Neurospora crassa OR74A: one gene and its partner. The protein of the gene in region 1 interacts with the protein of each later gene in a pairwise test. Links are inferred from orthologs where the notes say so. Each region holds a gene or a part of one and is shown on either strand. Other genes may lie near its edges.

Region 1 (5,606 bases):
AGAAGGAGAAGCTAGTGGTGGAATCGGCGCGAGCTCGGCGGTGGTTGAATGCGGACACGCTGGTTGGGAGCGACTCTGCCATGGGACCAGAGTAGAGCTGTTGCCGCAAATGTCAGATACAACACACACTGATCCACGAACACGGGAGAAGAATGCGTACCTCGTCGTGTGCCATCTCGACATCCTCAAAGATGCTCGCATTGCTCTGGTTCGAGCCCAAGGTGTAGAGGCCTGGACGGTGATCGTGACTGGCGCGCCGGCGGTCAAAAGACTGCGATGACCGCCAGCTAGCGTGGTGGGCATCATTGCCGCCGTTCATGTTGGCGCTGTCCGTCGGTGTTGTTCCGAAGTTAACCCTATGTATGAGCTCAAACGATTTTTAATAAGTAACTTGTACGCATCGATATGGATATGCAATTGGGGAATGTCCAAGTAAGAATTTGAGATTCTTGCCGCGACCCAGTCAGTCGTCCGAACTTGTAAGCGCAGATCTGTTTGGGAAGGTGATACCGATAAGAACATGACGTCGCTTTGTTTCGCTTGATACGAAGCCTCGCAAATTGCATAGTACCATACGTATCGATTGATACACAAGGTCGCTGGAACGGACTTGATCGAGCCGTTTCAGACTTTCAGACATTTTTACGCCAAACCGGCACTCTTTACACCTCCCTCACGATCAACCAACAATGTTGGCTTGCCGAAGACAAACCCTTTCCATGGATCATCGAGGAAAGAAACAACCAAATACCAATAACATGTGAAATCCTAAGGGACAGTTTCCCATATAGGTATCCTTTGCTTGACTACATGGTTACACAAAACAAGACATCAAGGTTCATACTAAATATGGAAGCGAAGGACAACTGTATGCAGTAGGGCTTCTTGCGATCGCATGGATAACTTCCACGATACTTCCCTTACCATCTTGTACATTCAAGTGAGTGGATCAGGCTTTCCGCACGATGACTGGAGATGGGAATGATGGACTCCAGCTAGAATCCTCTTGTCTGACTTCTTCACATTTGTTGACCTGGACGCCGGAGTCACGGAGAAGGATCGGGGCCAGACCGTCCCAACGGGCAGTCAGCAAGTGGGGCAGTCACAGGCATGGGATTTTTCTTTCAACACTGCCCGCCAATCGAATGCCAAGCATGTCCGCTAACGCTTGCCTACTTACATACCTCTAGCCAGAAAGGTCGATGGCGGAGATGGGGGTCGCTATCCACGATTTTTACGATAAGCACAGTGCAACAAGGGTCATTCTGGCCCAAACCTTGTCGGCTTCAGTTGGCGATGGAGATTCGTGGGCATCGCGATGATCACTTGGCAGATGCCGCGAGCGGTCTCACTACACCACAACGTGAGAGAACGTGCTCCATACGTGCCCGTACGTCGTGTACTGGGGTCACTGCAGCATCTCACCTGGACTTAGGTTGGACGCCCACGACGGTCTACGGCCATGATGGTTCAGATCGGTCCGATGATGGTCGCTGAACCCAGCGTCGACTCATAATCGAAGTCATAAGCAGAAAAGTGTGCGTCAAGTTGCCTCTGCTGATGAGGTTTTGACTTGCTGAGGACAGAGTGAATCAGCAGAATTTTCAAGTTTGCCTTCCAAAACCTGCCCGGCTCTGGAGGCCTAATTGAGTTGAGAGACCCTAAACGTTAGAAGCAAATCACCGCAGCCCGACGCCGGTGAGAAGGCGAGATGTAAACACCCGTCCAATATTAGCAGCTCGCAGTTCAGACGAAAAGCAACTTCTAAACTATCTTGCACCTATGAGGTACCTTGTAACTTGTGTATATGAAGCCGGCATGTCACCAATATCATTTACCCTACATCATGTCTCTGGCCGGGATCCCTGGAGAGAACGCTAGCACGCAAGACACGCCAGCCAAATGCTGAAGCATGTGGTGCCAGGAAGCGACGCGCGACGGGCAACCTGGAAATACACTACCTGAATGCGATGTACATGAACGGGCTTTGTACGATAAGAACAACAATGGCATGTTTAGGTTCATCTGGCTAGGCGTAGGTACCTGAGGGGATTTTCAGTTCAGACGAGCAGACCGGGCATGCAATGGCCGAGTGTAGAGTCAAACAAGTGACAGGAGGAGCTTGACCCTAAAAAGACGTGACCCATGACAATGGGCACCTTGCCTATGCTGGAATAGAATTGAAGGTCAAATACCTCTAGGTGGTGGTGTAGGGCAAGCGACAAGACTCATGGGCAGCAAATGGAAGTAGCGGACTGGGGCTGGGTGGTCGCCGGCGCAGTGCAGGCATCATGGAGTGGTCCAACGGGGCGCCTCCCGCTGCAGTGCCCTCGACCCGACTGTCCTGCCCGCACTGGCCAGTGCCCCGCAAATTTTCATAGCAACCCCATTGATAGCTTTTCTCCCCTCCCGGTCCCCTCCAGACCCGACCCTCGCTCAACATTTCTTGCACTGCTGCACAACAAGCCTTCTCTGCCTGGACCGACCGGCAACCACAGAACTTTTTGCCTTTCCCACCAGCACCGGGGCCCCTTCATCAATCTCTACACCCGACCGCTTCTTCAATCCAAATTTGCCCTTCCTTCTCCCATTTCTCCCTCCGACATCCACTGTACGTCGGTCGCAGGGTTCTACCACCGCTTCCTTCTCTGTATCCCAACTCATTTCCTTCTCTTGACCAGAACCAGACACAATGGCCGAGCCCATCAGAAACAAGCGGGCTGATCCCCCCATCGCTCCGTGAGTTTTCATCCCCAGACTTGATGGGATGCCCATCCCGAGTATCGCGTACCGTTACTGACCAGCCTTCGCTTCAGCACCCCCCAGAACACTCCTCTTAACACTGCCCCCATCTCGTCGCACGCTCAGCAGCCCGGTGTTGCCAGCATCAAGGAGGGTGAGTGAAGATTCTTGCTGCTGCTGAGACTATTTGGTAGTTTTCTGGGCTTGTCGCTAAACTTACTGTTCGTTGCAGAGGATCTTGACCGTGCCGCCGCCGCTTCCATCTTCGCCAAGGACCCTAGACTTGTGTCCCTTATCCAGGGTCGTCTCGGCTCTCTTGTCGGTCGTTCGTCCGGCTACATTGAGTCTCTCCCTACCGATGTCAAGCGTCGTGTCGCTGGCCTGAAGGGCATTCAGAAGGAGCACTCCAAGCTCGAGGCCGAGTTCCAGGAGGAGGTCCTCCAGCTCGAGAAGAAGTACTTTGCCAAGTTCACTCCTCTTTACCAACAGCGTGCCGCCATTGTCAACGGCCAGACTGAGCCCACTGAGGACCAGGTCCAGGCCGGTGAGGAGGATGAGGAGGAGGAGGATGAGGAGACCGAGGCCGCCCCCCAGGAGGAGAAGGCTACCGAGTCTGCCGAGAAGGTCTCTGGTATCCCCGAGTTCTGGCTCTCTGCCATGAAGAACCAGATCTCCCTCGCCGAGATGATCACCGACCGCGACGAGGAGGCCCTCAAGTCCCTTACCGACATCCGCATGGAGTACCTTGACAAGCCCGGATTCCGCCTCATCTTCGAGTTCGCTGAGAACGAGTACTTCACCAACAAGACTATCACCAAGACCTACTACTACCAGAACGAGAGCGGCTATGGTGGCGACTTTATCTACGATCACGCCGAGGGTGACAAGATCAACTGGAAGGAGGACAAGGATCTTACTGTCCGCGTTGAGCAGAAGAAGCAACGCAACAAGAGTGAGTTGCAGTTCCAGCTTGAATTTTCTCAAACTTGCTCACTAACAAATTGCACAGCCACCAAGCAGACCCGCATCGTCAAGAAGACCGTTCCTACCGAGTCTTTCTTCAACTTCTTCTCCCCCCCTAAGGCCCCCACTGATGACGACGAGTCTACCACCTCCGATATTGAGGAGCGTCTTGAGCTCGACTACCAGCTCGGTGAGGATATCAAGGAGAAGCTTATTCCCCGCGCCATCGACTGGTTCACTGGCGAGGCCCTCGCCTTTGAGGAGCTCGATGAGGAGGACTTCGAGGACGCCGAGTTCGATGATGAGGATGATGAGGATGATGAAGATGCCAGCGAGGACCAGGATGACGAGGATGAGAGCGATGAAGACGATGTAAGACTTTCTGAATTTTCCCCAACACATGCTATGCTCTGCAGGTATGCTGACAAATTTCACAGGAGGACGGCAGCAAGCCCAAGCAGGAGGCTGCTGAGTGCAAGCAGAGCTAAACGCTGATCGCTGAATGAACACGAAAATGATACCACTATACCACGCAGGCAAGGGGCAGAACGCCCAATGACATTTGGCGTCTGAGTTCCAAATTATTGAGGGTCATGCATGACCGCACCGGGGTGGCCGTGGGCTCAGGAAGAACAGGAGTGTGCGGATGGCCGGAGCTTGTGGTGGATCGATAACCATTCTACAGAATTTGAATTGGTCACATGAGGAGTTGGCTTCAGCACCTGCCTTGACGCTGTGGTTGTCTCTCATAAGTCTTAGCAGGATAGTTCGTCCTGACCCCTGAAGCAGTGGCACGTCAGAGCGCAAGGATGGGAGCAGATATGCGAACTAAACCGGAACAAGGGTCGATTTGTGCGTAAAGGGATGATATTATACGGGACAAAAGCAGTGATTCTAGGAGGATTTAGGTGTTGATTTCATAGTACAGCATTGCAGGTGTTTCTACATCACAAACCGTCATCCAACAGCGTGACTCGATGTAGACTGTCTGACTGTCAAGTTCATTAGGCCACGACACCAGGGGCGGATGACTTCTCCAAGGAGTTCTCAGATGGATGTAAATCGTCATGACCCTTGTTAGCCTCGCGTGATGTAGATAGAGTAAACCTCAACGGACGAAAGAGTCGCCGAGCTGAGGCAGTGCGTGCCTGGAAGGCCTGAAGGATGGGAGCTGGGCTTCTGGAAATTTAGTTGGCGATGTCTCTACTGACACGCAAGCTTGGCGGCTCCCGGTCGAGTTTGAAGGTAGGTAGTAAGTACCTCGAGACTTGGAAGTAAACTAAATAATGGAACCCGGGAAGTTGTTACACTATTCAGTGCTCGGGACACGAGGAGAAATAAGAGACCATCTGCGCTGAATCGAGTGAAAGCTGTCTACATGAAAACATACTGGCTCGGACAAAGTCAAGGGGACAACAAAGCCATGTCAGGTCGCTGTGGCAGTTTCCTATACATTGTGCGGACAGTCAGCTCGATTCTTGCGAGTCCTTCTTCTCCTGAGGTGGAAAAAAAAGAGGAGCCCGGGCAAGAAGACGGGAAGTACGGATAGCATGGGAAGAACACACGCCACATCTCATATTTCCATTTTTACTCTACGTTAAGCAATACAGCCCGATTCTATGTTATTCAAAGGGCTGTCAAATTGAGCAAGCGACCAACATACACTGCCAACTGAGTGCTTGCCTTCACAGCGGATCTCTTATTCATTCTATGATTCCAGTGGCGTAATTCGTCATCGTCAAGATTTTCTTTTGGTTGCCTGAGCTACCCACCGGATCCAGCCAGTAGGTGAGTGTTGTTTTGGGTTCCTATGTTGTTATGAGTCAAAGGCGACCCGCCGCCCGCGTTTTATGTACAGCGCTGTAACAGTCCCCTCCAAACCCGCGCAAACCCCACCACCT
Region 2 (4,088 bases), on another chromosome or scaffold:
GCGGAGAGCCTGAGAGATATCTGCCGCCCCCTTTGCACCTGGCTGATCTTGCTTGTTGGCAAACACCAAAAGGGCAGCGTCCTTCAGCTCTTCCTCATTCAACATAGCGGCCAACTCATCCGCCGCGGTTTGCAATCGCTCCATATCGGTCGAGTCAACAACGAATATTACCGCCGCCGTGTTCGCATAGTAGCACCTCCAGTACGGGCGGATGCTAGTCTGACCACCCAGATCCCACACATTGAAGTTGAGATTCTTGTATGTGACTGATTCGACGTTGAAACCGATTGTTGGTATCGTGGTTACTACCTCGCCAATCTACAACATGTTGTCAGCTCTCCGAACTGTGCGCGCTTCCGTTCGTCAGCTTTTCAACAGGTGGGCCTACCTTGAGCCTGTATAGTAGTGTTGTCTTTCCGGCATTATCGAGGCCCAATATCAGAATGCGGATCTCCTTCTTTGTCCAAAAGAGGTTGGACAGGCTAGACAGCCATGACATGCTCTGACCCATCTTTGCGTGTTGGCTAGTGCCCCGGAAGACTGAGAGCGCGTTGAGTTCGTAGGAGTGTGATGATTGAGGCAGTTGATAATTAGACGGATGAGGAGAGGATTTGACCAGGCAAGGCGATTCCTTGATACAGATCGGGCTCTAACGTGTCGGATCGGGCCGTACTAGTCGATGGAAATGATGACGGCGAGTAGTGTATTATCGAGGAGGCAGCGAACGGAAGCGCGGTCAGCCCAGCTGGTATCTTTCGGATGCTCCCGTGCGCACGGTTGAAGACAGGATAAGCGAGGGTTTGTTGCGCCGTGGTATTGCGAAAAAAAAAAGTGTTTTGGGTTAGGTTGCTTCAAGATGCTCCTCTCGTTGTCATAGAGAGGCCGTCGCTCAATGCCGCCAAAGAGCTCCTTTGATCGTGCCGGCACTCAGGGGTCCCGGGAGGCAAGGCCGCCCCAAGCGCCCAGCCCAACTGCAAACATCCCGGCAATCGATTGGCAGCGAGACGGCACCGTGGAAACCTCCGATAGCCGCTTCTCGTGGCTCGTGCGCCTCCCTTCTGGACCCAAATGGACCTTCTGTCCGGTCAGAGAGCGGACTCCAAGAGTGAATGAGCCTGTGCCACAAGTACGAGCCACAGACACACACGTGACTCAGCCACATGCGCACTTTCGGGCCCTAGTGTTCTGCTTGGTTTTTGAAAGCCCACACCAAATATTCTAACCCACCTCATCGACACCAGCCAAATCGACCGGTAACTCGACAACACCGTCAAAATGCCGGTACGTAACGTCCCACCATGTTGAGCATAGAGAATGCTCGGAATCGCTCTGCTGTCGAATTTTTGGCCGTCCTGCTATGCCAGAAACGGCAGCGACACGGAATTCCCAAAATGATGATCGCAGAGCGATTGATTGAAGCATGGAGGAGGGGTCCATGACTTCACCTGCTCGAACGACGGCAAGACAAGTTATGCTGACGAGGTGCATCGCGAAAACAGAGCCACAAGACCTTCCGTGTCAAGCAGAAGCTTGCTAAGGCCCAGAAGCAGAACAGGCCTATCCCCCAGTGGATTCGCCTCCGCACTGGCAACACCATCCGGTACATATCACCATAAGCGCCCATTGCTGTCGCGTTCAGCCAGAGGAGAGGGAGAGGGATGGATAGTGACGGGGATGGTGGTGAGGGAAGCTGGAAAACAAACCAGCTGCCTCGGCTGTACCCGGCGCAACATGCCCTCTCGCGAGCTTTCTGCACTCAAGAACGCATGGCGACTGCTTCATCATGACGCTGGATGCTAACAAGAGACAACTAGCTACAACGCCAAGCGTCGCCACTGGCGCAAGACCCGTCTCGGCCTCTAAATGCTCTCACGATTCTTCCATATTCCACCCCCAACGATGGTCTTCTTTTCCTGGTTGCTCTGATCCACCTCCATTTTTCGAAAACTGGAGCTTGGGAATGCGACCTATGACGGCAACCTTCTTCTCTCGGCCTTTGTCCTACGAAATTAAACCGATAACGAAATCTTCCCGACCTCCCGCTACGGAGTTGTTTTGCTAGGGCGAAGTCACCGATCACCAGCAAGCACGAAGGAGAAGCGGGCAAGGGCAACCAGGAAGCAAATACCGGAAGATGATGTGATCACAACCAAGTTCTGGCTCGGCGGCGGTCGGTTCTCAGCTGTGTTCTTTCGGCGGGGGGAAATATCCTGGAACTCGATCCTTGTTTTGGGGGAACGTAAACTTTCGGAGTACTATGCTTTCACGGCAAACATTTAGAAGGACGGTTACTGGGGGAATTAGGATCTGAAATGAGAGAAAACGTGGTGCACGAGAGTTGATTCCCATATTTGTTCTACCCATGTTCTCGGAACTGTGCTACAAAATCGGTCTATGTACCATGTCGTGTGCGCATTATATCAAGGTCTGTGACACCGAGGGGGCTTGATCAAAAGACGTGGGCAATGTCCAAATCAGCCCGCCTACGTTCCATCAACGACTTCTGTACCCTTGGCTTGTATAAAGCGAGTAAAAATGAGCCATGATATACAACTTGGGTAAGCTCCCTCCTAGTCTCTCTGCAATCTGGACCATTAGTATGTTGTTTGTGTGCATGGGCAACTCCATGCCATCCTTGCGCCTGGCCATGGTTGAGTTCAAAACGCCAAATTGTCAGTGAAAAGGGCGGTTTCTGTACCTACCTGTTTTACCGGGAGCGCTCTAGCATGGAACAATGGAGGGTAGTGTGGATGTTGGCTGACTTTTCTTTCCCCTACTCTAAGGCCCATTTCTTCCTGGTGACTCCGCGCCTTGAACCATGAATAGCTGCCACGAAACAGAGGGTCGTTGTTGCTATCATTAGACTACAGTTCACATGATGGGCGTATTAAGCGAATACGAGGTGCCAATATGTAGAGTATGTTGGTGGTAAAGGGGGCCATCATGGCAACAACACGGAACAGAATCGTGACGACGTTGTCGGCCTTTACGGTGAGGACGTTCTCAGACACGTAAGGACCTGATTCACAAACTGTATCATCATAAGAAAACCCTCGATTCAGCCTAAGAAAACAAGGAGCCGTAGAAAAAAGCTAGAGAACAACGCCTCTAAACGCCTGCCAACGCAAAGGTACGATCGAACGTACTGAGTGGAAGAGCTTCGTTTGTGGCCCTCCCAGGAATGCCCAAACCGTATCACGTCGTCGTCGAAATGCTGTCGATAACACGAGATGTGTTTGATATCCATCTCCCAACATAACAGCTCTCCCCATATCCATCAAACTCGGCTAAAGTGTGCGTTCCGGTAGACGAAGCACAGGGGTAACCTCTGTCGTTGGCAGACGGTGATCCCGGCGTTGCAAAGTGACTTGACGTGGAAACTGGTCTTGATCGGCTAACGGTCTTCCGCCCATTCGTTCTCGCGGCGAATCTGCTCCTCCTCCTCTGGAGTGAAATCATTTGTGATATTGAACGTCTTTCGAATCTCCTCAGGGGACTTGCCCTTGATCATGTTGGCAACGGTCTTGCATCCAACATCAAGGAGGGGCTTGATGTCCATGTAGTTGGCAGCCTGGATGAGGAATATGTTAGCATGATCTGACCCTGCAGAACCCGAGTGATGTTTGCATATCAAGTAGCATCGGCGGGTAGAACGAGGGAGAAACCTACGAGAATGATCTCGAAGAGCATCTCCTGGTCAACCTGCATGAACTTCTGGTCCCATTCGTCGATCTCCGTGCTCTTCTTACGGCTGTCGTTCTCGTCCTCGGTAGTCTGGGGCGGGTCCTTGCGGTGGTGCTCGCACCACTCGACAACCTTTCGGAGGACAGGCTCGTTGACGTTTGGTAGGGGAATAGCCTCGTTCATAACAGCCTCGTCGCCCAAATCCTCAATCAGGTTCTTGATGAGAAGGGATCGCTCGGCAACAACACGATCTGTGTTTGACGCCAGTTAGTCGGCTGCAGTCGCAGGGAAAGAAAAGGAGACAGGCCGGGTGGCGGGGTGATTCTACTCACCGACGGTGATGATTTGGCCATCGTTGCTCTGGAGAGATACCTTCTGGAGGGCACGTTCGTCGTTCTCCGCCA

The links. The genes of interacting proteins can lie anywhere in the genome.
Region 2: the proteins of naf-1 (region 1) and NCU08990 interact in a two-hybrid assay, tested with the Saccharomyces cerevisiae proteins (2 studies listed by BioGRID). The link is inferred for Neurospora crassa OR74A from reciprocal best matches to the Saccharomyces cerevisiae genes NAP1 and RPL39.

The regions. Positions count from the first base shown.
Region 1 is NC_026505.1:4,745,462-4,751,067, reverse strand, and holds naf-1 (nucleosome assembly protein), read left to right. Parts: upstream 1-2,418; 5' UTR 2,419-2,692; coding exon 2,693-2,739; intron 2,740-2,816; coding exon 2,817-2,896; intron 2,897-2,974; coding exon 2,975-3,694; intron 3,695-3,751; coding exon 3,752-4,077; intron 4,078-4,142; coding exon 4,143-4,193; 3' UTR 4,194-4,897; downstream 4,898-5,606. Other genes in the region: NCU10143 (ATPase type 13A2), read right to left, coding at 1-97, 161-319. UniProt on the Saccharomyces cerevisiae protein: Acidic protein, which assembles histones into an octamer (in vitro). Involved in the regulation of the localization and the function of the septins during mitosis. Involved in the function of B-type cyclins.
Region 2 is NC_026503.1:4,146,399-4,150,486, forward strand, and holds NCU08990 (60S ribosomal protein L39), read left to right. Parts: upstream 1-1,147; 5' UTR 1,148-1,275; coding exon 1,276-1,281; intron 1,282-1,499; coding exon 1,500-1,600; intron 1,601-1,814; coding exon 1,815-1,863; 3' UTR 1,864-2,585; downstream 2,586-4,088. Other genes in the region: NCU08989 (ADP-ribosylation factor 1), read right to left, coding at 1-318, 389-511; scon-3 (sulfur control-3 protein), read right to left, coding at 3,395-3,571, 3,670-3,935, 4,017-4,088.